4 linked regions of the Alligator mississippiensis genome follow. The protein of the gene in region 1 binds, or shares a complex with, the protein of each later gene. Links are inferred from orthologs where the notes say so. Each region holds a gene or a part of one and is shown in the gene's direction. Other genes may lie near its edges. The genes, in order: PLRG1, SNRPE, SRRM2 and SCNM1.

Region 1 (7,827 bases):
GTTTAATATTCATGGATAAAATAAATGGAGAAGATCTTGCACCTTTTGAAAGAAAAGGACCAAGTTAGAAACTAGCCCTCCTGCCTTCCAAAGCAGCACACCTCTTATTGAGCCACTCTCCCTCCGTTTCAACCTCTTTTTCTTAGCCCTTTTGGCTGCCCAGCTTCAAAAGGAGTGCTGGAGAGGGCACCTGTGACTTGCTTTTTATAACAGAAAAATAATACGGCAATTCTTCTGTTGCAAAGAATTCAGAACAGCCACAACAGATCAGAATGCTTTTGACACCATGGATTACTTTTTGGAATCTCTAGATTTATCCTGTGAATCATTTAGGTGTTGGCACATGCAACAGTGCTTATATAGCAGGGCACCCTTAAAAGGATCTCATGGTACCCCAAGATGCTGTGACACTCTGGTTGTGAGTCAGTGGCCTAATCTGTAGTGTGGTGGTGTAACAGGGAACTCTGCTTTGGGGGAAAGAGGGCAAGGGTGGAAAAATCAGCAAGGCCCATTTAAAGCCAGAACTTTTGTAGCCCAAGGAGGAGAGGGGGATAGCTTGCAGCAGGAAAAGCCCTTCCAGAGTAGCCAGAAGAATAGAGGTCCCAGCTACCAGGAGAGAGACCCAGCTGAGCAAGAGAGAGCAAGCTGTTTGTTGAAGGTGAGAGCAGAAACCTCCTGAAGCAAGATGACTGACACTGGGCTATGGACTCACTTCTGCAGAGCCTAGCTTGCAAACATCTGGCTGAAAAACACTGCACTGAGTGGGAAGGGGAGGTTAGCTATACCTGGGTATGACGTCCGTGGGCCTCACGTCCGGTACCGCCCTTGGTATGGTAGCCCCTCCCCCTCGTCCCGCCTGCCATGACTTGGATGTTAAGTGATTCGAAGGAGGGGTTCAGTGGAGATCTTCTGCCAGAGGGGCTTGCCTGACGTAAAGGGGGGTACTCACGGTTGGGTCCTCAGATGTTCCATGGGGCTCCGCCACCCCTACACCCCGTCCACTCGCCAACTGGTCACTTGTTGATGAGATGGTCATCCGCTGCTACTTGCAGCACTTCTTTCTGGCAGGCCTCCCCGAGGCCAACGGTCGTCCTCAGGCAGCCTGGCTCCGCCTCCGCCTGACCCGGCCGCTAGCTCGGGTCCTTTCCTTTCTTCTCTCCCCTGCTCTCAAAAATACTGCTCCTCGGGAATGGGAGAACTTCCCGAGTTGCTGCTCTGCTCCCAGCAAACCCTGGGAGTCACTCCTCTTGCCCCGACCGGGGCTTCTGGCTCTCGCCCCAGCTGCTGGACTGATGCCCAGTTGCCTGCCTGAGGCTCTGGCTTTGGGGAAGCCGCAGCGGCAGTGACGTGCTGCACGCCTCCTCTCTCCTCCTCTGGCTTCCCCCTTTCCACGGGGTTTGTCGGGGCTTTCAAACTTCCCGCGGCAGCCGCTGCGGCTGCCGCGATTGGCTCAGCTGCTCCCCTTGTTGAGAACAGCTGTTTAAAAAGCCGGCGTAGTGCCGGCTCGCGCGGCCGTAATGGCGGCCGCGTCTGCTGCTGCGGTCCCAGCTCTGACGCTGCCATCCCTCCCGGGGGTGAGTAGCCCGGCCCGTGGCTTTCTTGAGGTGGTGTTGTTGCCCCCCTGTCCTGCCTATCCTCTGCCTGTACCCGTGATGGCGGCCCGTCGCAGTCACACTGGGCCAGATGAACAGGAAGCCTGGCCAGCTGACAAAGGTGGCAGAGATGACTAGGATATAAACTCCCCGCCAGAGTGGAAGGTGGGGGGGAGGGAGGGGAGGACCGACCCAGTCCAGTCCAGTCTAGTCCAGTCCAGTCCAGTTCCATCCCTGTGGCTGAGAAGGATGGAGTGTTCCAGAGAGCCAGGAACGAATGCCAGCCTGGCAAGAGCACCTGATGCCTGAAAGGAGGAGCCCCTATCAGGGAAGAAAGACTGAATGAATGAGTGCATGCAAAGCCCTGGGGGATTCTTGGTGTTAACTCAGGAAGGATCCTGGGGAAGTGGGCACCCAGAAGACTGAGAGCTGTTTATGTTAACCCAGGAGGAGCCCTGGGGAATGAACAAACCTAGAGGAATGGTGACCATTTACATTGGCCAGGAGAGGCCTGGGAGAGAGGGTACAGCCCAAAGACCTTTTATGTTAACTTGATTGGGGTCTACTTTTCTTTTTGTTATTTCTGCTCATACTGCTAATACCACCCAGTGGACTGGAAGGGGCCATGGAGGGGGTTGAGGACTAGTGGACCGGAGACCTGGGTGGGGTTGAGGCCCAGACAGGCCAGGGGCAGTGACTAAAGACAGGCAGGCTGGAGCCCAACAGGGCAGGGTCCCAGCCAATGATAGTGGCTGACAATGAGAGTGAGGGAGAGAGGGGTGGACCTCTGTGCTGCCTGGTCAGACCTGTAGTTGCGAAGGAGGAGGGGGAAGTAAGGTACCCATGACTAGACTTTGGTTACCCAAAGGCAGTCTTCTAAATAACATATCAATTTATAGCATCAAGGCATGGCAGGAGGGAGAGAGGAGCCAGATTAGGATGCCAGGGTAGGCAGATAGGTGCCAGAGGGCCACCAGGGAGCCATGACCACCCGTGAGGGGTACACCCCATTACAGTGGTCAAAAAGAAGATTCAAATCCTGTGGCCTAGAAGGGGGAAGCACCCCCTCTATGCTTCCTTGGGAAATGTCCTAACCACTTAGTTACAGTTACCACCTAACCACTTCCTAGAAACCTATACTTATACCTATGCATTGGCCAATGGGTATGTGCAACAGTTACATATCTACCACACTATATCGGTAACAGAATTGTAAAGTGTATAAGTGACAAAAAGGCTATTTATTTAACGGAAAACTACCATGTAGACACACAAAGGATAACAATTCCCTCTCTCTGCCTTTATTAAAGACCAAATGCAAGCAATGTGGATGTATATGTATAAATAATGCTGATACATAAAGAGATGCTTGTAACTACAAATATATTCTCTTGGTAACTGTATGTTAAAAGGTAAGTGAAAATGTGCTCTTTGAAAAATAGGTCCTTGCTTCTTTAGGCATTTACTCTTTGTTAGTTGATGTAGTTATCCTAATTTGACATAACAGTACAGTTTTCCTTTTAAAGTTACATTTTACAGTTTTAGAATTATTTCTCTTTTTACACTTCACTTCGGCTAATTTCACACTTAAATCTTAATACAGCAGAGCTCCAATTAAAAATTTAGACTCTTCCAAAATACTCCTCCATTACACAGCACAAAGAAGAAGTTGGATTAAATCACAAGACATCAAGTCCAAACTCACAGAGCAATCCTATAAAGATATTTGCTCACTTTGGCAGTAAAGACTTGCTCAGCAGGCTCTAACCAGTGTTATAAAGGCTGAGTTAAATACTGGGCATCTTTTTGAAAGCTAACTACTGCACTCATCTGTTCAAGATGTGTAATTGTAATTAGTATATATACTTACGTTCACCAGCTCTATACAGCTGTTATATAGTTAAATATATTCACCATCAAGAAATCGGCAACATTGGATGGTAGAAATAAGGCATTTTTGTTTGGCTAAAACAAAAATATAGAAGTCAGCAGCTGTAGATGAAGTTGCCAAAATATACAAATTCTAAACCAGTAAGTGTCAACCTTTTTTGGCAGGCATATCACAAATTAGACCCACATCCATTCCTAGTTCCCCCTTCAGTTGTTCTTCCTCTGCCTGAGTTGCTGCTCTGCTTTCTGCTCTATCTGCAGCTCCCTGCTGCCTCCCTGATTTGCTGTCTGCCACAGACAGAGGCTGCCTATGCCACTTAGGGCACATGTGCCGCTGGCTGTCCCCCTCCCCCTCCCCCCCCAGTCTTTTTTTCAGTTGATTTCAACTTTATTCAAGATTTCTCTTTTGGGTGAAATTTTCAGAATTTAATTTCAAAGTGTATGTGGGTGTGGGGGTGTGTGTGGGGGGAGAGATTAAAGTTTTAGCAAATTTGAGTAAGCTATTTTGGAGTAAAAGAAAGTGGGGGAAAATCCAGAGATATTCTGCCTATTACACTGAAAAATGAAAGGTGGGTCAGCTCTGATCTCATATTTAATTAAAGCAGCCTCTCAACCTATCTTGAAACCTATCAAATGTCATAAATGTGATTTCAGATTTTCTTTCAATTTAAGATGGCCTGCCACTTATGATTTGGATTCAAATTACATATGCCTGTAACTTTGTTAGAACAAAGCTAATTCATATACATTTGCAACATCTAGTATGGATAGAATAGATAATTTAATGACAAAAAGAGATATTTAAAAATGTGATGAGAAGTGAGTTTTAATGGAAGCTATATTTAAATTTTATAAGACTGATTACCAGGCTATTGTTACAATACAATAATACCCTGCTACCAAGTTGCAACTTTATCTATACTGTTCACTATGAACCTGATGTTTTAATACAGTAATGTGTCACTGCCAAAATTGTATACGCTACAGATTCCTACCCCACCCCTGCCACAGGAGACATTAGTTCAGTTTCAAGAAGTTTGAAGGTAATCTATGAAACTCCTCTATACAGATCTCAAGCCTCATACTTCTCACAAAATTGGCTATAGGGCTGCAGCGGCCGAGGGTGGCCCTCGGGCAGCCGGGGCTCGAACCCTCGGTCCACTGGGCCGCCCAGAGTCAAGGCCAGCCGTCAGCCAGGGCGCGACCCACCCCCTCCCCTCACGCCCCACCCCCTCCCCTCACGCCCCGCCCCTTCCCCCTATTGGGCGATGTTGCGCTCCGCCTCTCCCCCCCCACTCTCCTCCTCCCTCCCTTTCCAGCGCGGCCTAATGTCGCCGGCTCTCGCGAGCGGGTCGTGGTATCGTCACTTCCGACAGGGGCCGGAAGTGCTTTAATAGCGGTTCGGCGGCTGCTGTCGAGGAGGCGCCATGGTGGAGGTGAGCGCCTGGTCCCGCGCGCATTCCCCGTCAGTCCTCGGGGCGGGCTGGGGCTCGGGCCGGTGTCCCGGCGTGGGGGGGGCTTGAGGGGCCATGCACAGGGCTGGAGCTGGAGCCTGAGCCCCGGCCTCCTGCAGCCTCTGCCCGGCCACGGGCCTGGGGGGCGGGGAGGATGCATTGACTCTGAAGAGTTCGGACGCTTATGTCCGCGCTATAAATGAATTGTAAATGCCTACCTTCCCGGCCAGTAAAGCACAAGGAAGATAGGTTGCAAGGTCACTGCACTCAGGGGACTGGGCCAGGTGGCCTTGTTGCACGTCATGTTGGCATTGCACCTGTCACCAAGACAAGGGACTGATCTGCGGTCGTTTACAGCTACCAGCACTTCCCATATAGTGTGTTTGGCAAATGCGCTAGCATAGGAGTTGGGTTTTTGGTTGCATCTGTGTTGCTTTGAGGCAGGCAAAGGCTTTTTGAATGCATGTGATATCTCTTGTTATATTATATAAACTTTTATTGTATATATTTATCTCAGTTGGTCCAATAAAAAATGTCACATCTACTCAAAGAACTTTGCTGAGCAGAGGAGGACCCCTAAGATGGTGTTGGGCAAGGGGTGTTTCCCTCCCTGGTGGGAGGTAAACTCAGTATCTGGTCAGTGTCCCCCAAGATCCCTCTAGTAGCCTGGGAGAAATGTAACTTTGGGTATCAGATGTGGTCTTCAGCTGTGGCAAGGGAAGATATTAAGAAGCTTAGATATTTGGAAAAACTTTCTCACTAGGAGGGTAGTAAAGCACTGCGACAGGTTATCCAGAGAGCTGGTGGAAGCTCCATCCTTTGGGGTTTTAAAAAATCTGGCTAGACAAAGCCTTGAGTGGGATGATCTCATTGGGAATGGTCCTGCTTTGAGCAGGGGGTTAGATATAGAGGTGTACTGATATGCTGATCACATATCAGATCAGCACTAATACAAGGAAAATTAACATTATCAGCAATTGGCCTTTTTTTGGCCAGTGTAGCTGATAATGTTACCGATAAATGCCATATGCATGCACACAGACACAGCATGCACGTGGCCAGGAGTGCAGCCTGGCAGCTTGGAGAGCAGCATCTGGCTACTAAGTCTTTGGGGAAGAAGGCATAGGAGGAAGGGTAAAGGGATGTAGTGTGGTGGGGGCCAGATTGAGGTCCCCACAGTGAGGGAAAGAGTGGAGCAAGGGCAGGGGACACTGCCCAGCCAGGGCGGTAAATGTGGGCAGCTCTTTCAGGGACTACTACACACACCTTCGGATTTGTGCGTGGGGCTAGGGCAGGCTGCCTGCTGCAGGGTCAGGGGCTGTCCTCTTCCTGGTAGGGGGCCTGGGCTGCACTCAGGATGGGAGGGGGTGAGATGGACAGCAGTCCTGGGAGGGGTGGGCTACAGCCACCCCAAAAATTCCCTGTAGTCGCTCCTCCCAGTGCTGCTGCTGCCCGCCCTGCCCAGCGGCATTCCTTTAAATTGGCTACTGAATTGGTATTGGCTGATATGTCTGGTTAATAATCGGCCATTGGTATTGGCCCAGAAAATCTTTATCAGTGCACTCCTAGTTGGACTGGATGACCTACTGAGGTCCTTTCCAACCCTAATTTTACTTTGGTATTGTTAATTTTGTTAGTTCTTGAATGGTGCTTTTGTACTTCAAGAAAAAGCAAAGCAATTACATCGATAAACCAAGGCCTGCAGGTTTTGGAATCCACAAGAACATGCTGTTTCTTGCTAAGAGGCATGCACACATGTGCCATCATCTGTGTGGTAGTTCTTAAATGATCTTTCTTTGCCATTTGTTTGCTCTGTGGTTGCAATCAAATGAGTAGGCCTGCACCACTGATGCGCCTGAACCATTTGTTTTATTGTCTATGTATAAACAAAGAACCAGTAAGTGTGAAGGACAAGCTTTTATCTTCAGTTTGTATTTACCTCAGTGGTTGGAATTGGAAACACAGTTGGTCAAAGTTTTGGCCTGCTCTTCTTTATCATGAGACTATCCCAAGGAAGGAGTGTTATTTTAAGTGAGGGGGCAATGAAACAATTTATCAGGCCAAATCTGTAGCTCCCAGCTCCTAAGGATGGCAGTGTACTCTTCTACAAATTCAGTAGTGTCTGTTTTGGTTTGTTTTTTTAATTACTAAGGAGAAAAATTACTACCTTATTTAATTTATATTGCTGTTTTTGATTCTTCTTTAAATTTTTGTTATGGCTTCTTGTAGGATGTACAGAAACATTCTGTGCACACTCTTGTGTTCAGATCCTTGAAGAGGACCCATGATATGTTTGTGGCTGATAATGCAAAACCTGTATCGTTGGATGAAGAAAGGTAAGTATAGCTGTCACTAGCCTGTTGCTGTGTCTTAAAATGTTAGTGTATACAAGTAATTGCTTTCTTTTATCCAAGTCAGATTGTGTATGTTCAAGCAGAACTACTATCTAGAGGTGGTGAAAGGAAAGCAGTAGAACTGACATGATTCTAAATGATTTCCAAAGCATTTTAAAATTTGCGGTTGTTCAGAAGATCAAGTATTAATAAATTTTGTTCTCTCAACTAGTCACAAGGTAAAGATGTCAGTTAAGCTTCACACAGAGTATGGTTCTGTGTTGCACATGCCTACGCTGAAGGAAAATTTGAGAGAGAAGGGTTCCCAGGGTGTGGTGGATCCTTATGGACATAAACAATATTCTGCAAATCAAGGTTAGTTTGCCTTTGCTTGTATATTTTGAATATTGTCTTATGATATGAAATTTAATCTTAGAATTGCTATGATAATTTTACAAGATAATTCTCTGATCATTCTAATTGAGAGAGAGATTTAGAAGGAAAACTATCTATTTTTATTATCCTGTGTGTAACAAGCTTGTCTTTTTAGAATGCAAG
Region 2 (7,378 bases), on another chromosome or scaffold:
CAGTGCTGAACTTTCCCAGTACCCTCTCCCTCAGATGTGGGTCACTTGCAACAGCCTGGGCTGTAGCCCTTGGGTGCAACTGGCACCTGCTGGGGCAGGAGCCAGTGCGGGGGGGCATGGCCCTCGCTGACCTGACTGTTGCCCCACACAGAGGCCATGCAGAGGTTCCTGTACCTTGTTTCCCCGGGGCTCAGGGGCTCTGTCAGCATGATCAGCTGCACCGTGCTGGTGCTCACCCGCCTCCTCTTCAACTTCAAAGGTGAGGCTGGGCTGCCAGGGCATGGGGGCTGGGGGCCTGGACGCTGCAGGGCAGCTGGCTGTGGGCACGGGATCCTATGGCTGGGGCAGACCTGGGAAGTGGGAGGTCCTGGGGCCGAGCCCCTTGAAGGTGGTGGAGGGGCTCTTTGCAGCCCCCTGGTGCCATTGGGGGAGCAGAGGGGCGGATGTGGGGGCACTGTGGGCCCATCTAGGGGAGCTCTTGCTTGGCAGAGCCTGTCTTGGCACCTACCAGAGCCAGACCCCCTCTGCCAGCAAGAAGGGCTCCATCCTGCTCACCAGCCCCAGCTGGGTGTGGGCCTGGCCTGCACAGGGGGGTAGGGTCCCCTGGGTGGGCGCAGACCTCAGCGGCACTGCCTGCCCCACAGAGCACCTGGGCCCGGATGAGATGGAGCACCTGCTGCGCAGCGTCTGCCTGCTGCTGGGTTTCCGCACCCGCCGCGTGGTCAAGGCTGTGCTCGGCTTCCTCCGGGCCGCGCTGCTGCTCTTGGATGACAGGTTGTTGGCCCCACATATCCCTGCCGTGGTAAGTCTGGCCTGTGGGGACAGAGCTGGGCTCCTGCAGTGGGAGGCAGGGGGAGGGCTCCCTTCCCAACTCAGAAGCTGGACTGCCCTGGCTTGCAGCACATCCTAGGCTTGCACGTACCCCACTCAGCCACTGCCAAGCAGGGGGTGAGGGCTGAATTGCCCTGCTGTGGGGTGGGGGCAGCACCAATGCAGGGTCCAGGGTGGGGGAATGGTGATACTGGGGGAGATCAGCTCCATCTGCAGAGGGTGTGGGGCACCTTGTGTGGTGGGCAGGGAGCAATGGGGTGTGGGGGTGATGGGGGCGACAGGGTATGGGGCCTGGAGAGGTAGTGAGTGTTGGGATGGCAGGGTGACGATCCCTGTCCTGGCAGCTGGAGGCTTTGCAGGGCCTGCCGGGTATCATGAAGCATCACTTCCGTGCGAAGCTGAAGTTCATTCGCAACCATTGGTGAGTAGGGGATTGGCAGGGAGGTGCAGCATGGCTGAATCCAGCTTGGGCCCTTGGGGCACTCTGGGGGTGGGGGAAGCTGCGTCTGACCCGTAGCTGTGGCAAGCATGGTGTCCCTGGCGGGGGGTGGGCTTTCCTAGCTGACCCCCATCTCCCCAGAGCTTCGAGCTGGTGCAGGTGCTGCTGCCGGCCGTGTGCTACAATGTGCTGCGTGCTGAACGTCCGTGTGGCTGAGGCCCACGGGTGGAGGCAGTGCGTTCTGTGCCAGGCGGTCGCCTGCAACCAGCGCCACGAGGCGCCTCCAAGACCCAGAGGAGGGTAGAGGCTGGGGGGCCTGGGCCTGGCTCCGGTCCCACTGGCAGAAGAGAATGGGGAGCTTTGGGGTCTCATGCCCCATGGGAGACACTGGCCCTGTTAACCCTTCACCGTTTTGTTACCAGACTTAACACTAGACTCCAGGTAGTAACAATGATTTAACAAAAGCTTGAACAAGATCAGTCCATTCTGTGAGAACATTTATTGATTGCAGCAGTTTACAATTTCAAGCACGTGACAAAGAACATATACCTTTCTGTGCCCGGGGCAGTGTGAGCTCTTGGCTGCCAGCTGTCGCAGTCACCGGGGCAGCCCCTGGCACATGGCTCGCATGCTCTGCCCCATCCTGAGTATTGCTTGGGGGATAATGAGGCCCCCGGGCCCCAGGCCACCCTACTCAGGGCTGAGCCCAGCCCGCTCTGTCCAGGCAGGACCCTGTCCTTTGCTGAGATGTGACATGCTCCCTACCCACCCCCCTGGTGTCTGGGCCCTACCTAACCTGCCCTGGGTCTTGTGTTGCAGTAGGAGGCTCCAGTATCCATCTGCCGCCAGGACACAAGGAGGACTACACGCCCAAGGTAAGGGGCCCCTATGGCACCTGCCTCCAGGGCAGCAAGGTAGGGCGCCAACTCAGGCAACCCCTGTGCTGTGGTGCCCTCTGTGCCCTGCCCTGGAGCCCCGGGTGCAGCAGGAGGCAGTTGCCCAGAGCCCAGACATTCAGGGGCCCAGCCTGGCGCTGCAACATGTGTGGGGCTGTTGTAGTCCCAGAGCCGTGGGGCTGGCCAGGACCCACAGGGTCACATTCAGTCTCAGCCTTACCAGAGGCAAGACCAGCCCTGTCCAAACCAGCCCAGACAAACCTCATGTCCGACTGCTGAGCCACACGACAGTCACCCAGACACAACCCCAGGCATCACCCCTGCCCCTGACCCCGTGAAAGCAGGGGGGCTGCGGACACCAATGACCTGCTGCTGCCAGGGGGGTTCTTGGGTGCTCCAGAGACCCCAGGCAGAAGCTGTGCCCCCGCTGCAGAGGAAGGCAAAACCCCCAGCTCAGATCAATCTGACTGCAGGAAATCTCTTCCTACCCCCAGTGCAGCATCGGTCTGAGACTGAGCAGAGGGGCAAGACCCTGTAGCCAGGACCCTGCAGGGCTGGTACCAGCAGGAGCACTGGCACATCCCAGTCCCCATCCCCAGGCTTGGCTGCAGCCTGCACCCAGCACCTCTGGGGAGGCTTAAAAACCTGGGAGATGCCATGGGGCTGTGTCCCCCAGGCCCGCTGCCCCTCCACCCCCTGCCTCGAGCCCACACCACTGCAGCAGTGTTGGTCCCGGGGTTCAGGGGAAGGGGGCACTGTCCCCTGCCAGGCAGGCTGCCAGCTGCCCCAGGCCACATACATCTGTCTCCACTGTCCTGTGTGTCCTGCAGAAAGGCAGAGACGACGTGAAGGCCAGTCAGCTGGACCCCTACGCCTACTTCGCCCTCCACAGCGCCACGCTCAACAGGAGGTACGGCACCGATGCTTGCCAGGGGGGGGGTGGCCTTGCCCATGGCTGTGGGAGGGGGAGTCGGGGGCCATGGCAAAAGCTGGGTTGGGTCCTAGCTTCCCTGGATCCTTGAGCTGTTCTTGTGACCTGGCTCTGCCTCATTGCAGGGTCCAGAGCATCAGGGAGCTCCCTTGACCCTCCCCAGCCCCAACCCTATGCTGGGAACTGCTCCCACAGCCAACTCCTGCCCCATCACCCCCCAGCACCCCTTGCTGGGTGAGAATAACAAGGGGCTTCCATAGATTGCCCTGACCTGCGCCTCATCTTTTTCCCGCAGGGAGAAGGCGAAGAAGCAGGGACACTTCAAGGGGCTGATGAAGGGAGCCCAGCACGGCATCCAGGCTGGGCGCAGACACCGCCTCACTCGTGAAGTGAGTCCTGCTGGCCCCCTGCCCCCCCACCAGATGTGCAAGCCCTGCGCGTGGTGGCCCCGGCCTCGATCTCTGCTCAGTGCCGCCGGGGGTGGCGTGTGCATGGGTGTTTGTGCGAGCGGGTGTAGGTGTGCAGAGCCCACAGAGCGGGGAGCAATAAATACGATTCCCCCCGGACCGATCGATTGTTCCTCGTCCTTCTGGTGCCCCAGCCCCTGGATCGGAGACCAGAGAAACGGCCAGGACATGCTGTATGTCCAGGGGATCCTGATGGTCTTTACCCTGGGATCACCCAGCAAAGGGTGCAGTCCCAGATGGGCTGCTTTTAATTTTCTCTTCCTCAATCTGTGCCTGGGCCTGAGGGCAGGCAGGTGAACCAGGCCTTGTCCGGGGTAGCGGATCGTAGCATCGCAGAGCCGTGGGGCTGGCTGGGACCGGCAGGGTCACATCCAGTCCCAGCCCTGCCAGACGCAGGATTAGCCCCGTCCAAACCAGCCCAAACAAACCCCGTGTCTGACCTCCGCGCCACACGACACAGCCCCAGGCACCCCCGGCCCTGCCCCAGGAAAGCAGGGCCGCGGCCACCCATGACCCGCTGCTGCCAGGGCGGCAGGGATCCACCAGAGCAGAGGCTGTGCACCTGCGGCAGAGGAAAGCAACCCCCAGTGCGGACCAGTGTGAGCTGTGCGGTTGGCACGGTGCGAGCATTGCTTGGCACAGTCTGGGCTGGGCTGCATTTATGGCAGCATTCACCAGGCGCTGCAATGATGGAAGGGTGGGCAGGGCAGGGCAGTAGAGCGGGAGTCCTCCCGCGGTCTAGAGCGTCCGCCCGGAACTCCCCGCTCTTCCCGCCAAAGCGCGTCGCTTCCGGCTTCCCGGCATGCTGCGGGGTTTCCGGCGGCAGGGGGCGCGTGCAGCGGGGCTGATTCGTGCGCAGCCATGGCGTACCGCGGGCAGGGCCAGAAGGTGCAGAAGGTGATGGTGCAGCCCATCGTATCCTCCAGGGGCGCGGGGCCGCAGCGGGGGGACGACACTCCGGGGGGGGCGCTGTGGCCTGGCAACGGAGGGGAGGATTCCTGGGGGGTTGCCTAGCAACGGGGGGGGCAATTCTGGGGGATGTGGCTGCCCGGCAATAGAGGGGGAAATTCTGGGGGGGGTTGCCTGGCAATGGAGGAGATGTGGGGGGTTGCCTGGCAACGGGAGCGGGGTGTAATCCCGGGGTATGTGGTTGCCTGACAACAGGGCGGGGTTCCTGGGGAGATGTGCTTGCCTGGTTTTTGTGGGGGTGTTGCTTGGCAATGGGCGGGGAACCTGTGGGGGGGGTGTTGCCTGGCTGGGGGTGGTGTCTACCCATGCCTTCCCCAGCTCAGGTCGGCCCACGCTGTCTCCGCGCTGTTCCTTAACTGCCTGCAATAGAACCTGATTTTCCGCTACCTGCAGAACGTAAGTGACGGTTCTGGCCCCGCGCGCGGCTTCGGGGGGCCGGGAGGGGCAAGTTGGCCTGGAGCTGCTGGTAGTAGTGTGGGCGGTGTTGCTGCTTCATGTCTGGAGCGGGGCCCTGGAGAGAGGCACTGGAGAAGGAGCCTATGGGCTGCCCGGGGCCATGGGGCAGGGGCAGAGCCTGCTTGTACTAGGCTGAAAGTGGAAAGCTCAAGGGCCAGCTGGGACTGGGGTCCCTGGGAGCAGCTTGTCCCAGGGCCTTTTCAGCACGTGTCTGGACTCGGGGTCTTCAGCTTGTATCTCTGCTGTGCTGTGAACTGTCCTTGCGGCAGCCCTGGAGGTGGCTGCTCTGTTAGGAGCCTTTGCAGGTGGGGTGTGGAGTGCAAGGCATCCCCCCCACCCCAGTGCTTCCCTTCAGGTGGGCCTGCAGCTGTAGGGGATTGGACCCTGATCCCCCCCTCCCCGATAGAAGGAAATGGGTCCTGGCCTAGGTCGGCTTCTTTGTGCTGTGTTGATAGAAGGGATGGCAACACATCTGCCTGTGCAGCGTCTGATCATCACTAACGTGTATCCTCATCACCAAAAGCTTCCTTGCGATGACCCCCCAGGATTTGATTTTGCTTCTGCAAGATTATTGCAGATATTCTGAAACACGTGGGGGCCCACACATGAGTTTTCATCACTTGAGAAAAAACTTGCCTTTAGCTAAGCAGAACTGTTCCAGAGGTGGTGGACTTCCTGCCCCACAATGAACTTGGGTTCTGAAATCAACGCTTTGCTGTTACGTTAAGCAGTGTTATTATTTCCTAAGGATACCATCTTGAAGGCAAGGGTGCAGTGATGCACATGGGTGCTTCTTAAGACTCATTTCTCTATGTGCTTAGAAGTGTTTGGTAGCTGGGGATACCTTCCCCCGCCCCTTTTGTAAAACACAGTGTGACATGCCTGCTATTATGGAGTGATGGATACTATTTAAAAGCCAGTTTGGCCAGGGGCAAAGGTAGATTTTGAGTGGACAGCAACGGGTAACAGAAAATCACTTGGAATACATGTGCTGACACTCACTCTACTGTCTCTTTTTGCTTCTCATTTTACAGCGGTCCAGGATCCAGGTGTGGCTTTATGAGCAGGTGAACATGCGAATAGAAGGATGCATCATTGTAAGTGCCAGGATGTTCTTGAGTCTCTTGCTTTTCTGAACTTGCAAGTTCTGTTTGCAGCTCCCAAATGTAAACAGAGACAGATACTAGTCCTAAAGGCAGTGCTCAGCACTGTCTGAAGCAGCGGCCTCAGCCATTTCCACTTAATAAGTCTGTGCTTCTGTAAGAGAAGGCGATTGCAGTTGGTTCTGCCCTCAGTAAGGGCAGGGGAGTTGGATTTAACACCAGGGGAGTTAGGCGACTAACTGATTTTGTTGCTGGTTTTTAGGGTTTTGATGAATACATGAACCTAGTGCTGGATGATGCTGAGGAGATTCACTCCAAAACAAAGTCAAGGAAACAGCTGGGTACGTTTACATGGTTTAAATGATGGGCCCCAAACCTGTCCAGATAAGCCTTGTGTGGGGCAGCAATTTAAATGCAGACATATTAGAAGCTTGGGCTGAAGTCCAGCAAAGGCTGCTGTGAAGATGCTTGTTTTTGCTGTTTGCTATAGAATAACAGTGCTGGGGTCAGAGATCTGATAGGTATCCCATTAGATATGCACAAGAAGTCCAGAAACTAGTCTAAAACCTTAAAGAGGCAGGTAAATATCTTGTGCTTCTCTGCCTCCTCTTTGTTACTAGGATGGCCAGAGAAACCCAATCTGATCTCTGCCACATTTATCTCAGTCCTGAGACCCTCCAGCTCTCTGTCTTACTCTTTCAAGTGTGCGTTTCCAGAGTCAGGGCACGGAACCATGACTCTCGCTGTTTGCTTGTAGTTGATATTCACTGCTTGCCAGGTGCCAAAGGTAAACAATGAATCGGGGGTGTGCAGGGGTAGCTGGGGTGCCTTTTATTGCAGCACACTCCGTTATACAGGAGGAAATTGATGTACTAGCTGCAGATGGTGTTCATGTGCACCGATACAGTGAATTGTACCTTTAGATCGTATACTGCAGAGAGATGAGTACCACAGACTTACAGGCATGGAGCCCTGTGAAGCATGCAGTAGTAGTACACCTGTATATTAGCTCAGTTTGCTGTAACAGAAACCTTTGCAATCTGAACCGTAGCCTGTTGTTTTGCCAGTCAGTAGAAAGACGAGGTACTTGTTTTGTGGACTTTGTTCTGCAAAATTTTCTGCTGTTAGTCTCCTCTGTGAAATGCTTTTCCAGGTATCCTTGTTCTCAGGCCATGCCACTCCTGACCACCTTCTCTCTCTGTCTTGCAGGTCGGATCATGTTAAAAGGGGACAATATTACTCTTCTGCAGAGTGTTTCTAACTAGAATTTGTCATAAATTGGGACA
Region 3 (6,878 bases), on another chromosome or scaffold:
TACAAACTCCTGCAAGAGCGTTTCAGGCTGGACGTAAGGAAGAATTTCTTCCCTGTCCAAGCCCCGCGGTCTGGGGCAGCCTGCCATCGGGGGTGGTGCAAGCACCGGCTCTGAACGCCTTCAAGAGAAATGTGCATGCTTATCTCGCCGGGATCCCGTGACCCCAGCGGAGTTCCTGGCCCCGGGGCGGGGGCGGGACTCCATGATCCTCCGGGCTCCCTCCCCACCCGAATGTCTATGAAATCTATGAAACCCGTGACCCCAGGTGACCTGCACACATATATCTGTACTCGCATACACACGCACCCATAGGTATCCATGTGTGTCTGCACACATGTTCACACATGTACCTATAGGAACCCCCTGTTCTCGTATGTACGCACATACTCACGTTTCTGTGTGCATTTGCACACATGCATATCTGTACTCACATGTTCCTATGTGTACACACATACCCATAGGTACCCATGTGTGCCTGTACTCATGTACATGCATACTTGTGTTTCAACGTGCACCTGCACACATGTATATCTGTATTTATGTGTTCCCACATGTACACACATACCCTGAGGTACCCATGTGTCTGTAAACATGTTTGCACACATATCCATAGGACCCCATTTGCACCTATACGCATATGTACACACGTACTCATGTTTCCATGTGCCCCTGCACACATGTACATGTGTACTTAAGTGCGCACACATACCAATAGGTATCCATGTGTGCCTGTACACGTGTTTGCACATGTACCCATATAACCCTATAGGCTGGGGAACACCCTTCTTGTCAACGTGGTGACAGAAGGGGATCTTGGAGTCATTGTTGACTCTAGGATGAACATGAGCCAGCAATGCGAGGAAGCTAACCGCACCTACAGATGCAGCTCAAGCAGGTCCAGGGAGGTGATCCTCCCACTCTATGCGACGCTGGTCAGGCCGCAGTTGGAGTACTGCGAGGCGCCGCACTTTGGGAGGGATGTGGCTAACCTTGAGAGGGTCCAGAGGAGGCCACCCGCACGGTCAGGGGACAGCAGGGCAGGCCCTACAAGGAGAGGCGACGGGACCTGAACCTCTTCAGCCTCCGCAAGAGAAGGCTGAGAGGGGATCTGGTGGCCATCTACAAACTCACCAGCGGGAATTGGGGGAGGCTCTGTTCCCCCAGCTCCTCCCGGGGTTACTAGGACTAACGGGCACAAGTTAGAGAGCAGGTTCAGGCTGGACATCAGGAGACATGACTTTACGGTGAGGGCTGCCAGGCTCTGGACTGGGCTCCCAAGGGAGGCGGTGCTCTCCCCTGCCTCGGGGGTCTTCCAGAGGAGGCTGGACAGATATTTGGATGGGGTGATATGACCCTGGCACCCGTTCCTGCCCGGGGCAGGGGGTCAGACCTGATGATCCGTTTAGGTCCCTCCCGACCCTAAGCACTATACTATGACCCCATGCGCACCTATACTCATATGTATACATGTACTCATATTTCTGTGTGCACCTGCACACATGTATATTTGTGTTTATGAGTTCTCATGTGTATGCCATAGGCACCCATGGGTGTCTGTACATGTGTTTGCACACGTGCCTGTAGAAAGTCACATGTGCCTGTACTCATAGAATCAGAGACCGTGTGGGCTGGAAGGGAGCTCAGGAGGTCACATCTAGTGCAACCCCTGCTCCAAGCGGGACCAGCCCCAACTCCATCATCCCAGCCAAGGCTTCATCCACCCTTGAAGGTCTTCAACACCGCCAAGGACGGAGATCCCATAATCCCTCTTGGCAGCCCATTCCAGCACTTTCCCACCTTCCTTGTCAGAGAGTTTTTCCTAATATCCAACCTCAACTTGCTTTGCTGCAGCCTGAGCCCATTGCTCCTTGTCCTGTCATCTGGCACTACAGGTCACGTGTACAAGCGCCTACTGAGAACAGTCCAGCTCCATCCCCTTTGCAACCACCCTGCAGGCCGCTATTCAGTTCCACCCCCCCCCTCGGTCTTCTCTTCTGCAGCCTCAATGCACCCATTTCCCTCAGCATCTCCTCACACATCATGTCCCCCAGCTCCCCAATGATTTTTGCTGGACTCTCCCTAGTGCTTTCTGCAGTGGGGCCCACAGCTGGACCCAGCACTCCAGATGTGGCCTCCCCAGTGCTGAATAGAGGGGGAGAATCTCTGACCTCCACCTCCTGGCAATAATTAGCCCTGCTCGTTAGCAACCAGGATACCCTATTGGCTTCTATCCAGCTTCTTGCCCCTGTGTCCCAGCACACGGGATTGTCCTGTCCTAAGTCCAAAAATACAGTTGCTAACAGACATATTTGGAGTATACGTAGCACAGAGAGTGACAGGTTAATAACGAGGCATTAATTACCTGCTCTTAATTGTCAGCTGTGTTGTGGCTGTGCTAATGTATATCATTATTAAATGGTATATATACAGCATGTGCATGAGTTACATGTGAGCTGTTTTATGTGTCACAGGCTCTTCACTCGCGTGGGGTCAGATACCCACTTCCAAGTCTCCGTTCCATGTTCTCTGGATGCTCGGTATGACAGGTAACACTCGTGCTATTGTGTGTTGTGACGTGACATGGGTATTACACGTGTCATATATGGCACATGCTATTGTGTGTTATTGCGTCATGGGTATTGCATGCATGCATGTCATGTATGTCACACTATTGTGTTTCATTACATGGCATGGGTATTGCATGTCATATCCAGCACACACTATTGTGTGTGTCATGGGTAGTACATGTATGCATGTCATACAGCACATGTGCTGTTCCATGATATGTCATAGGTATTGCATGCATGTGTGTCATATACAGTGCATACTATTGTGTTCTTACATGTCATGGGTGTTACAGGGCTGTCATATACAGTACATGCTACTGTGTGTTATGTCATAGGTATCACATGCATGTGCGTGTCCTATAGGGTACCTGTGCTATTGTGTGTTATTACGTGTCATGGGTGTTATATGTATGCACGTTGTACAGTATATATACATATGTATATGAATGCACGTGTTGTACAGCACACGGGCTATTCTGTGTTATGTCATAGGTATTGCATACATGTGTGGCATATCTAGATCACGTGCCATTGTGTATTATTACATCACAGGTATTAAATGTGTGTCATATATGGCATGTGCTATCGTGTGTTATTACATCAGGCATTACATGTATGCGTGTATACTATAGGATGCACATACTATTTTCTGTTCTGGCTCATGGGTACTACATGCATGTGGCACATACAGCATATGCTATGGCGGGTTATTACGTCATAAATTTTACATGAAAGTTTAACATGTGTACAAGTCACCAATGGTATACATACTATTGTATGTTATTACAACACAGGTATGGCATGCAGGTGTGTGTTAGACATGTCATGGGCGTGAGATGCATACACGTGCTATGACGTACTTTGCTGTCGTAGCTAGGCCATACTCGCGCGTGCACACGCTACCCGCTCCCCCCGGTCCCTACCCCTACGTGTCCGTGCACGCACACGTGCACACGCAGCTCGACACGTGCGCAGGCCGCGGCCGCCTGCGCAGGCGCACACGGGTCGGACTACATTTCCCAGCGTCCCTTCCCCCGCCAAGATGGCGACCGCTTAGTCCCTCCCACTCATGCGCACAGGACGGGGGCCGACTCCCCAGTGAGGGGACGCGGGGAGCCAGGCCCGGTGCGCATGTGCGCAGCGCTAATCGCCCCCCGCCAGCCTCTGAGGCGCGTGCGCTCCAGGCAGGAGGAGGCCGAAGCGCATGCGCACCGTGGCCTCCCCGACCGGCGCCATTTTGGACTCCGTTGCCCGGCCTGCCCCGCGCGGGGCTTTTCCGGCCCCGCCCCGCGCCGCCCGCGGTCCGCCATCTTCCCGGCCTGCCCCGCGCCGGCCCCAGGCTCCAGCCTCTAGGCCCAGCGTCGCGGAGCGGAGCGGCCTGGTCCGGCCCGGGCCCGGTGAGGGGGGAGGGGGCGTCTGGGAATGAGGGGGGGCTCCTGCGTGGGGGGGAGGAGGGAGGGGGCGTGGAGGGGTGTTGTAGGGGAGAGAGGTCGTGGGGGGCGCGGGGCCGTGGGAAAGGGGTAGTGGGGGCGGTGTTTTGGGCTGGGGGAGGGGCCGTGGAGGTGTTTTGGGGTGGGGGCGGGGTCGTGAGGGGTGTTTTGGGCTGGGGGAGGGGCCGAGGGGGAATCTTTTAGGGGGGAGGGAACGGGGCGGGTGTTTGGGGGCGGGGTCGTGGGGGAATCTTTTAGGGGGGGGCCCGGGGGGTGTTTTGGGGGAGAAGGGTCACGGGGGGGGTGTTCTGTGGGGGAGGGGCTGTGGGGGGCAGGGGCGTGAGCTGAGAGAGGGGGAGTCCTGGGAGGCAAGGGGGAGACATAATGGGGGGAGGGGCTGAGGCCAGCCCCACCCTGGGGAGGAGGTTTGAGGCATGGGGCATTGGAGGGGGCTGGGGGGGTAGGCGGGCAGGTGCTCTGGGAAGGGGGTGGGGCTCCTGGACGTGCCTGGGTTCTTACCCCCCGCCCCCCCGCAGGTCTGGCCGCCCCCCTCCCCCCGGCGGCGCCATGTACAATGGCATAGGGCTGCCCACGCCCCGGGGCAGCGGCACCAACGGCTACGTCCAGCGCAACCTGTCGGCCGTGCGGCACCGGCGGGAGCGGGCTGAGGACGAGGGCGCCCGGGCCGAGCCCGCCTTGCTGAAGCGGCCCAACCAGGACATCCTGGACCATGAGCGCAAGCGCAAGGTGGAGCTGAAGTGCCTCGAGCTGGCTGAGCTCATGGAGGAGCAGGGGTGAGGCTGCTGCCGGGCAGGGCTTGGGTAGGGGCAGTTGGGAAGGTTGTGGGGAGGTCTTTGGGGTAATTATGGGGGTAGGGCTTTGGGCATGGGGTAGCTGGGAAGATTGGGGGGGAGGCCTAGGGGGAGGTGTGGGGGCTGTGGGCAGAGCCAAAGGTGGGCAGCTGGGAAGGTTCGGGGGGGGGGTGTCATGGGGGTGGGGCTTGGGCATGGAGCCAGAGGTATGGGGTAGCTGGGAAGGCTGTAGGGAGGTGTTTGGGGTCTGTGTGGGTGCAGGGCTTGGGGGCAGAGCCAGAGGCACGGGGTGGGGGGTTACTGAGGATTTTGGAGTATGTGTGGGGGTAGGGCCAGGGGTGGGAGATAGGTGGCAGGTTTATAGAGAGGTTGCTGAGGCCTTTGTGGCAGGATGGGGGGGGGCAGAGTCAAGGCATGGGGTAGCTAGGAAAGTTATGTGGAGGTCTCAGGCTGCTGAAGTGGGGTTGGGGGTGGAGCCTGGGAGTAGGGGTGGAGCCAGGGCCTTGGTCAGCTAGGAAGCGCATAGGGACCTTTCTGGGGCATTTGGAACAGGGCTAGGGGCGGGGCTTGGGGGCAGAGCCAGGGGCACTGCGTAAGTGGGCAAGCCATAGTAAGTTCCTGAGACTTCTGGGGCAGGGTTGGCGTGGAGCCGGGGTGGGGGCGGAGCCAGGGTACGGGGTAGCAGAGATGCTTGTAGGGGTGTCTGGGGCTGTTGAGGCTGTTAGGGGTCGAGTTTGCAGGTCAAGGGGCAGAGCCAGGGCACAGGGCAGGTGGGAGTCACAGGAACATATACAGAGGCAATGAAGTAGGTTTGGAGGTGGGGCTTAGGCTTGGGGGTGGAGTCATGGGGGGGTTGGCAAGGCCCCGTTCCCCACTGAAGCCCCGTCCCCAGGTACACGGAGGGGGAGATCCAGGAGAAGGTGGCCACCTTCCGCCTCATGTTGCTGGAGAAGGACATTGGGGGCAAGGACATCGACACCCCTGAGGGGCGCCCCACGTGAGTGACCCCTGATCTCTCACCCCCCATGGCAGTGCCCCTCACTCCTTATCCACAGCACCACCCCCACCACCAGCAATGCCCCTCACTCCTGACCTGCAGCTCCCCCCAGTGGTGCCCCTCCCTCCCAACCAACAGCAACCCCCTTCACCCCTCCACAGCAGTGCCCCTCACTCCTGACCTGCAGCCCCCTCCAGTGGTGCCCCTCGCCCCGACTCCTGACCCACAGCCCCCCTGGCGAGCAGTGCTCCTTGCTTCCAATCATCCCATGGCACTGGAGGGGTTTAAAGCAGGTTGGGGGAATCTGGGAGCCTGGACACCTGGGTCCTCTGGGCTGGGGGACGACAGTAATGGGTGCTGGGTACCTGGATCCAACACCCCCGCCCCCCCTCCTGCAGGGTGACGGAGACCCACCAGCTAGCCGAGGCAACGGAGCGTAAGAACGAGCGACTCCGCGCCGCCTTCGGCATCAGCGACTCCTACGTGGACGGCAGCTCCTTTGACCCCCAGCGCCGGGCACGCCCTGCTCCCCGTCCGCCTGACCCCGTCCCGCCCCACAGGTACCTGGGGATGTGCTGCACACCTGGGTTCTCTTTGGGATGGGGGGTTTTGGTGGGGGGGCCTGGAAACTTAGATTGTATGTGTTTGCATTTGCACCGGACACCTGGGTTCTTTGTTGGGACGGGGTTGGGGGTTGTGCCTTTGTGTGACCCAGATGCCTGGGTTCTCTGGGTGCGTGTCCCAGATGCCTGGGTTGCATGTTTGACTCTCTCTCTCTCCCCCCCCCCCCGCCCCAGCCTGGTGCGAGAGTCCAGCAGCTCCCGGTCTCCGTCCCCCAAGCAAAAGAAGAAGAAAAAGAAGAAAGACAGAGGGAGGTGGGTACCTGGACACCCGGGTTCTCTGGGGTGGGAGAGTAGGGGTCTGGATCCTTGGGTTTTCATCATGCCCTCCCCCTGTTGCTGCTAGGTCAGAGAGCCGGTCACCCTCACGCCGAGAGAGGAAGAAAAGCTCCAAGAAGAAGAAACACCGGTGAGAGCCTCTTGGGGTGGTGGCAGGGTTTGGAGGGGCAGGG
Region 4 (7,609 bases), on another chromosome or scaffold:
GATCAGCAGGGAGCCTGATTTTCTCTGATAAAAAAAAAAAAAAAATCCTTATTTTTCAGATATAAAAAAGTAATCCAAAATCCACACTTTTTCCATGATTAAAATGAAACACCACTATATATATCTATATCTATATATTAATGGAGTTTCATTTTAATCACAGAAAAATGTGGACTTGGGGTTACTATTTTTAACTGAAAATTGGGGAGTTTTTTTAATCACAGAAAACCAGGATCCCTAGTGATCAGGAGTCCCTCAGCCAAAAAAACTCCCCAGCGTTGCAGATGCCCATCCAAGCTGAGCGGCAGCCCCTGCTGGCTCAGCCTCTGAGCACATAGGGATGTATCTGCACCCTCAGGCCTTGCTGAGCTGTGCCCTTCACTGCCGCTCTCTAAGCCCATCTGTACTAACCCAGGAGCTGCATGGAAGCAGCGGGCTGGATCCTGCCGGAGACACAGTGCCTGGGATCGGGCATGGTTCAGGACCCTACCAGTGCAGGCAGGGCCCAAAGGGTCCCCAGGGCACTACTAGGAGGTCGCTATGAAAATAAAAGGGAAGGAAACCCTAGTTATTTCCTCCAGGTTTTATTAGAGATCCAGGGATGAGTACATGGCAAGAGGGGCTGGTTACAAGCACGGGCACCAGAGCTCGGCTGGGCCCCTGTTCACTGAGGAGGGTCCCCAACCCCAGCGTGAAGGTGAAGGAGACGGGGGAGGGGGGGGTGTGTCTCACCCCTGAAGGAGCCCAAGAGATATGTTCTATGCACCCTACTCCCCTCCTGACACTGCTGCCTGCTGTGGTGATCACGTACCCCCCTGACCAAGAAACCTTCATCCGTGACCCTTAGCAGGTCAGATTGGGGTCTCCCTGCCCTTGGTCCTGGTGCCAGTCAGCAGAATCCAGTAAGGGACCCTCTGACAGCAAACTGGTGGAAAGTGATGAAGAAGTTCAAGTTCAGGCCCTGGCCCTTTCTCCTAATGCCAGGCAGCTCATGAGTGGGGAGGGAGATGGGTGTCAACAGACCTGCTGTGGAGGGCCAGAGTGGGCCGGCAACGGGCACTGGTCCAGCTCCCACTGGCCTAGTGCCTGGTAGAGACCAGGGGCCGGGAGGCTGGGGACCAGGGCTGGGGGACATCAGCAGGGGGTGCTGACAGGGGACCGGGCATCAGGTCTCCTCAGCTGAGACCCAGCAGGTGAGGGGGCTGGAGGGCAGTGTGGAACTTGGCACTGCCCCCTCTTGCCTGGTGAGGGGAGAGTGGGGCAGGTGGGGCGAGAACATAGGGAGCCCCAGCAGGGATAGGGCAGGGGGTCTGGCGGGTAGAATCTGCCCACAGGGCTGAGACAGGGCAGGAAAGGCCACGTGGGAACAAAGCAGCATTGTGAAAGCCCTTCACATGTGTGTCACGCTCACCAAGACCCGTGCATCAGGATGAAGGTGGGGGGGAGGGTTTGGCCCTCCAACCAGCTCCTCCGAAGGCTGCAGGCGCCACCAGTGCCATGGCCCAGTAGTCCAAAGCCACAAGGATCCGGGGAAGTCAGAGCTTGAAGATCTCATCCTCCTCATCCCGCAGCACAGTAGCCCGCAGCGTCTTGGTGAGCGGCACTGGGCCCAGCAGAGAGCGCTGCTGGGTGCGGGGCGAGGGCTCGTTCCGCCCAGGGACCGTCCTACCAGCTCCCGCCTCGGCCCCGGACATGCTGGAGGGGGGGAGGAGAGGCAGTCAGAGCTCCCCATGCCTTCTGTTGGCTCTTCTCTGCCCCCCACGCCCACATCTCTCTTCTTGCACCCCCGCCAGCTCCAACCACTGCCCCATGCTGCCAGTTGGGAGAGAACCTCCCTGCCCCAGAAAGCATGGCTGAGGTTCAACCAGCTGCCTTGATCAGGAAGGGCAAGGCTCTCTGATGCACTACAAACCTCTGCCTGGGTCCCAATGTCCCTGCCTGCTACGATCCCCTATTAGTGCCCCCAGACCCCATAGATAGCTACATCCCCCCACTGCAAGTCTCCCTGGAAAACCATGCGGCCATAGCAACACAACAGGATCTCCTAGGCAATGGGGGGGCAGAATGGGGACCGCTGCAGTCTCAGCTGGGGCGTCTCACCGCATGTCACACAAGAAAAAGGGAGGGGATGTCGTGTTTCTGCTCTGCCCCACACAGATACCCCTCGAGGGCAAGAGCAAGGTGCAACCCCAGCCCCCTGGGGTGCAGGCCCCGCCCCCTCATTTTTAGTTTCTGATGTTATCAATAAATATCATCACCCCACACTTCCCATCTCTGCCCCACACCCTCTGTGTGGCTTGGGCTGGGCTAGCCCTAGAACTAGAGCCCCCTGGAGGGGAGTGGGAGTCCCGTATACTCAGGCACCAGGGGAAATGCCCTCCTGGGTACTTCTCTGAGGTGGCTTTAATTCCTCCTGCCCCATGGAGCGGTCCAGGAACCCCCACCCCGTGCAGGAGGCAAAGAAAGAGTCTCTTAAAGCCTAGCCAGCAGGTGGTAGGTTCGATCCCCAGCTGAGACAGCAACGCGAGAGCGGCACTCACGCGATCTTCCCTTCCCGCAGCTTCTTGGCTGCGGCCTCCTTGGACAGGCTGATCTGCGAGTCCAGCTGGCGCAGGAAATCCATGGCTGATAAATCGTGGCGGAGGCCAGAACCAGCCCTGGCTCCATCCCCATCCCGGGGCTGTGACTCCGGCTGCTCCTCACCCTCAGGGGGCTGCCTGGCTCCTTCCCCCTCCTGCAGGATCAAGCCTTTTGCCCGCACCTGGACCGGGATGTACAGTGTCCGCTTGAGGAAGATGGAGTCGTTGGTGTAGAGCCGGTTGGCGCGCTTGATTTGCTCTATCTGCGAAGAAGCACATGCAGGGTTAAGCTCCCATCAGGCGCCTGCCCCATCCCACTACACCCTGCTGCCAAAATGCAACCACTTCTGGGGCTGAGCACACCCATGAACCCAGCCAGCCCTGTGGGATCCAGCAGAAGGAGAGGGCAGGGGGAAGGATGTGGGAGTTCACTGAGAGCGCGAAACTTGGACCATGACCAGCTGCATGCAGATGGCAGCACTGTTGTCAGTGGTCCCAGTCGGGCTGGGGGCGAGGTTTCCACTCCCCTGCTGGAGCCCCAAACCAGGCTGGCACAGAGACTGGGATACAAAGCACCCCAGAAACCCAGGGGCAGTGGCAGGAGCAGTCCAGCAGGGGGCAGCACATGTGGGGCAGGACCCTGCCAGAGCTGCCCAAGCTGGAGGGCCTGGGGCTGGCCCAGGGCTATTTCAGATCCCATGAGTAAACAGAGTCACATGCCCACGGCCTGCCCAGACCTCCACCCCAAGCCAGCTGAGTCAGATGGGAAGGGAAAGTGATCCCTTGTGAGAGCCGTGTGAGGACCGGCACGCACAGAAAGTGCCAAAGGGGAAAGGAGAGGAGATACAGAGGGAGAGTGTGTGAACACAAGTGTGTAGGCGTGCGGGAACATGCGCACGTGTGGGTTGACAACACATGTGTGTCCACACAATCAGGACCAGGGGATGCATCAGGAAGAGCATCTCCTGCATTCGTGTGTAGGAACGAGCCACCCCATATACATGCGCTCCCCCCACACGCAGAGCGAGGTCGACGAGGCACCTTTGCTATAGGGAAACTGAGGCACAGAGCAGGGACGAGCCCTGCTCCAGGTCACAGGGACGCAGTTCACGGAGCAGCAAAGACGCAAGGAGACCTGATCCCCAGCAGGGCCCAAGACATCCCGGCGACAACACCCAGGAGTCCCGGCTCCGGGCCCTGGCACTAACCCCTCGGCCCCGCTGCCCTCCCAGCACCAGGAACCCAACCCAGGAGGCTCCCCGGGGCCTCACCGTGACCCCGTAGCGCAGCGCCAGCCCCGGCAGCGTGTCCCCCGGCGCCAGGCGATGCTCCAGCCGCCGCTCCCGCACCGGGGACGCCGCCGACGTGACCAGGCTGCCGTAGGAGCGCGCCCGGCCACCGTGAAGCAGCCCCGCCGCCCCGGGGGACCCCGGCCTGGCCGGTGGGGAGGCCATGCTGGGGCAGGACCCGGGGGGCAGGTGCCAAAGGGGGTCACAGCCCCGGCCTGCACCTGCCTCGCGCAGGGCAGCTCATGCCAGGGCCCCTGCCAGGGGGAGCAATGCTCCCAGCCCCTCTAGTGCCCCCACCCCTGCCCCATGCCCCCCTGCCCCCTTTCTAGTGCCCCCACCCCTACCCCATGCCCCTCTGCCCCCTTTCTAGTGCCCCCACCCCTGCCTCAATACCCCCTTTCTAGTGTCCCCTACCTAATGCCCCCACCCCTGTCCCCTTTCTAGTGCCCACACCCCTGCCTCAACGCCCGCTACCTAATGCCCCCCACCCCTGCCCCAGAGAGCGCAACGCTCGCAGCCTCGCAGAGCAGAAGAGCGGAGAGCAGAGCCACACACGCAAAGCCCTCTGGGACACGTAGTCCTCCTCCCCCTCACAAAATGGCCGCCCCCAGAGGGGCGGGGTGAGGGCGCTAGGACTCCATTTCCCGGCGTGACTCGGGCGCCGCCTGCGGGTCCCAGGTTGGCGCGGGCGAGCGCGAGGCAGGCCGGGAGCTGCAGTCCCCGCCGCGAGGCAGGCCGGGAGGCGCCGGCCCGGAAGTGGGGGCCGAAGCGGAAGAGGGCCGGTCTGCCCGGTCTACGGTGGCTGCGCGGGTTCAGCAGCGCGGAGCGGAGTCGCGGCCGGGGCGACATGGCTTTCAAGCGCGAGGGCGACGATGTCAGCCAGCTCCGTGTGCTGCAGGTGGGCGGGGCCTGGGGTGACCCCGGCCCCTCCCCACCCCTGCCCAAAGACCCCCGCACTCCCCTCTCCCATCCCCGCCGCCCAACGGACCCCCCCAGCCCCTCCCCTAGCCCTGCCATGGGACACCACCAGTTCCTTTCCACCCCTCCATGCTGCTGAGGGACCCCCCCCCGAGCCCCACCCCAAAGACCCTGCTCATTCACCCCCCCAGGCCCCCCCACCTAGGCCTGCCCCTCCCCCCCCAGCACACCCTGCCCCCCCAGGGTCTGTGGGGCTGGGGGCAGTTCGTTGCTCCTCCCTCCCGGGGGTCTTTGCTCCCTTGGGATGGGGGGCTCGTGAGGCCGATGGCAGAGGTGAGGGGGACCCACCGCCGCGTCACAGAGCCCCCTGGGCCTTGGGCTGTCATTGCCCCTCCAGAGACTGCCTGGACTGCGCCCAGGTCTGGGAGCCGGGGCCGGGAACACGGTGGTCACAGGGGTCTTGTCCACGGTTGTTGCCTCCTCCCCGTGTCCAGCTGCCTCCCTGCCCTGTGCTGCAGCATCCCCTGGGCCCAGACCGTCGCTCCCGTGACACCAGTCACTTCTGTGCTCGAGAGAGGAGCGGTCCAGCGCATTGGGCCTTAGCTTCATTCAGGCCTGTCAGGCCCCCTCCTCATTAGGGGTTTCTTGCAGAAAAGGAGAGTGTCCGACCTGCTGGCCAACTACATCCCGGAGGACGAGGCGCTGCTGCTGAGGACTGGCAGGTGGGTCAGGGCCGGAGCAGCCCCAGGGCCGGCAGAGGAACCCAGCCACAGCCCCACTGGGGCCAGGCCGCCAGCCTGTGCTGCTGTTCGGCTGCTTGTCTGGGTCGGGCTGCACAATTAGGGTAGGTCTCAGCCTCGTTAGACCCCAGGCCCCTCTCGGAAAGTCCCAGGAAGTCTTGGTTTATCCCAGGAGGCCACGAAGTCAGTGCTTCTGGGCTTGCTCCGGGAGAGGCACTTCTCTCTGCAGTCTCAGTTTCCCCCAGCTTTTAATTGAGGGTAACGAGACTGTGCGGGAGGGAGCCTGATCCGTCAGTCCTGTAGTGAGGGGTTAGGACACCAAGTTCTCTTCCCTCTGCGGTCGCTGAGCCCCTGCCTTTTCCTCCCAGGTAAAGACAAGGGTGGGACGGAGCGAGTCCCATGGGCTGTGCTGCATTGGGGAGCTGGCCGTGGTTATGGGTATGAATGCCCCAGAAAGGAGCCTGGCATGTCTCCCCACATGGACCCATGTCTCCTGCCCACTCTGACCCTGTCTCCCCCACAGGTACGCATGCACCGTGTGCTTCCACCGCCCTGTCTTCGACACACTGGACATGCTGACTGTGCATCGCGCCGGCAAGAAGCACGTTGCCAGTAAGGCAATGCTTGGGGGCACTGAGCCTGGGGGCACCGGGCCAGGAGGGCCCTGCCAGGGCAGCAGCCCCAGCCTATTTCATTACCAAATCCCTTATAAACCCGCTAGGCTCCACTGGTTCCGCTGACCCGGTCGAGATAGCAGAACGCCAGGCCAGATTTCCTGGGCGTTGGCAGGTCGGGCAGTAGCCATCGGGGTTGGGGTAAGGTCAGGTCCTGCTGGGGGCAGGGGCTGGATTAGACCAAGGGTTTCAAACTCTCTTGGCCCATGGGCCAAATCAGGGGCTCCTCTGAGAACCACACTGATGCAGCTTATCCACTGCTCCAGCCTCATATCACAGCCGTGGTCTGCACCCCTGAATCCCCAGCCCTTCTGGGAGCCCCACAGGCCAGATGACCCAGCTCCACAGCCTGGGTCTGACCCACAGGCCATATGTTTGGCACCTCTGGATTAAACCGCTCCTGGCTGCCTGCCCTGCTGTTCTCTGCCTCTGACAGCAGAGCCCTCCTAGCACCTCCACAGCCCCAGGGCTCCCACAGGCATTTCATCAGGGCCAGCCCTCATGCAGACTGCCATGTGCCATCCAGAGAGCCCAGCATGTCAGAACTGCCTTGTCCAATTGCTTCAGCTCGAGACCCCCCCATGCTGGCCCTGGTCTGTGCCCCCACCGTGAGCCTCCAGCTGGGTTGAGCTGGGCTCTGCTCACCCAGGCCCCTGCCTCCCCCTGTCTCTAGGCCTGCAGACCTTCTACGGGAGGAAGCACTCACGGGAGAATGAGTTACAGAAGTGGCAGCAGCAGGAATTCCTGCGGGCAGAGGAGACGGGCACACAGGTAAGCCCCACACGTGGCCCTGCCTCCCCCCCCCCACCAGTGACCCCAGCCCCACCCTCACCCTGTCTGTGTTCTCTGCAGGTCCTCCCATGCCCTGCACCCCTGCTGACTCAGACTCGCGCCATCACCCAGAGCGCCCTGCTGAAAGCCACTCCCTACAGCAGCTGCTGCCGGAGGAACAGGTAGGGCTGGGGGATATGTGCCATGGGCGGGAGGCTGCGGGGAGACCTGCTCCCAGCCTGGACAAGGCAGCTGCTTCTGGGAAGCACCACCAGCTATCCCATTACCTCCTAGTAAGGGTGCTGTTACACCGCCTGCTCTAGGGGCCCAGTCTTCAGGTGTGCTCTGCTGACTTATACCAGCTAAAGGTCACACATGAGAGAAACAGCGCAGGGAGGCTGCTGTCTCCCCCTGGCCTGCTTTGCATTAAGATGTCACCTGGGAGAAGGGAGTGAGATCCAAGGGTCACAGAGTAGGGCAGAAGGCCAGGTGTTGGGACTCCTGGGTTCTTTTGGCAGTGGGGTCCCCATAGGAGGAGTCGTGGCCATGAGATACTGCTGAACAAGGCCTTGTCTCCTCCTGTTCCAGGTGCGATGGAGGCCGTGTGGGAGCACAGCCGGGGCCTGGCCTCAGGCATG

Evidence for each region.
Region 2: PLRG1 (region 1) and SNRPE share a complex: the UniProt entries of both Homo sapiens proteins name them as parts of the minor spliceosome. The link is inferred for Alligator mississippiensis from reciprocal best matches to the Homo sapiens genes PLRG1 and SNRPE.
Region 3: PLRG1 (region 1) and SRRM2 share a complex: the UniProt entries of both Homo sapiens proteins name them as parts of the minor spliceosome. The link is inferred for Alligator mississippiensis from reciprocal best matches to the Homo sapiens genes PLRG1 and SRRM2.
Region 4: PLRG1 (region 1) and SCNM1 share a complex: the UniProt entries of both Homo sapiens proteins name them as parts of the minor spliceosome. The link is inferred for Alligator mississippiensis from reciprocal best matches to the Homo sapiens genes PLRG1 and SCNM1.

Annotation. Positions count from the first base shown.
Region 1 is NC_081825.1:94,680,918-94,688,744, forward strand, and holds the start of PLRG1 (pleiotropic regulator 1), read left to right. Parts: upstream 1-4,814; 5' UTR 4,815-4,909; coding exon 4,910-4,918; intron 4,919-7,165; coding exon 7,166-7,272; intron 7,273-7,501; coding exon 7,502-7,644; intron 7,645-7,827. UniProt on the Homo sapiens protein: Involved in pre-mRNA splicing as component of the spliceosome. Component of the PRP19-CDC5L complex that forms an integral part of the spliceosome and is required for activating pre-mRNA splicing.
Region 2 is NC_081837.1:39,629,929-39,637,306, forward strand, and holds the start of SNRPE (small nuclear ribonucleoprotein E), read left to right. Parts: upstream 1-4,370; 5' UTR 4,371-4,425; coding exon 4,426-4,479; intron 4,480-4,902; coding exon 4,903-4,929; intron 4,930-6,023; coding exon 6,024-6,086; intron 6,087-6,354; coding exon 6,355-6,433; intron 6,434-7,301; coding exon 7,302-7,357; 3' UTR 7,358-7,378. Other genes in the region: RRP12-like protein, read left to right, coding at 152-259, 645-802, 1,176-1,252, 2,090-2,145, 2,997-3,076, 3,393-3,485. UniProt on the Homo sapiens protein: Plays a role in pre-mRNA splicing as a core component of the spliceosomal U1, U2, U4 and U5 small nuclear ribonucleoproteins (snRNPs), the building blocks of the spliceosome.
Region 3 is NC_081830.1:700,614-707,491, reverse strand, and holds the start of SRRM2 (serine/arginine repetitive matrix protein 2), read left to right. Parts: upstream 1-3,861; 5' UTR 3,862-3,964; intron 3,965-4,533; 5' UTR 4,534-4,564; coding exon 4,565-4,791; intron 4,792-5,701; coding exon 5,702-5,806; intron 5,807-6,204; coding exon 6,205-6,366; intron 6,367-6,603; coding exon 6,604-6,681; intron 6,682-6,772; coding exon 6,773-6,835; intron 6,836-6,878. UniProt on the Homo sapiens protein: Required for pre-mRNA splicing as component of the spliceosome. As a component of the minor spliceosome, involved in the splicing of U12-type introns in pre-mRNAs.
Region 4 is NC_081838.1:20,117,991-20,125,599, reverse strand, and holds the start of SCNM1 (sodium channel modifier 1), read left to right. Parts: upstream 1-4,592; 5' UTR 4,593-4,715; coding exon 4,716-4,766; intron 4,767-5,437; coding exon 5,438-5,508; intron 5,509-6,049; coding exon 6,050-6,138; intron 6,139-6,873; coding exon 6,874-6,971; intron 6,972-7,052; coding exon 7,053-7,153; intron 7,154-7,559; coding exon 7,560-7,609. Other genes in the region: LYSMD1 (lysM and putative peptidoglycan-binding domain-containing protein 1), read right to left, coding at 1,536-1,695, 2,541-2,842, 3,851-4,033. UniProt on the Homo sapiens protein: As a component of the minor spliceosome, involved in the splicing of U12-type introns in pre-mRNAs. Plays a role in the regulation of primary cilia length and Hedgehog signaling.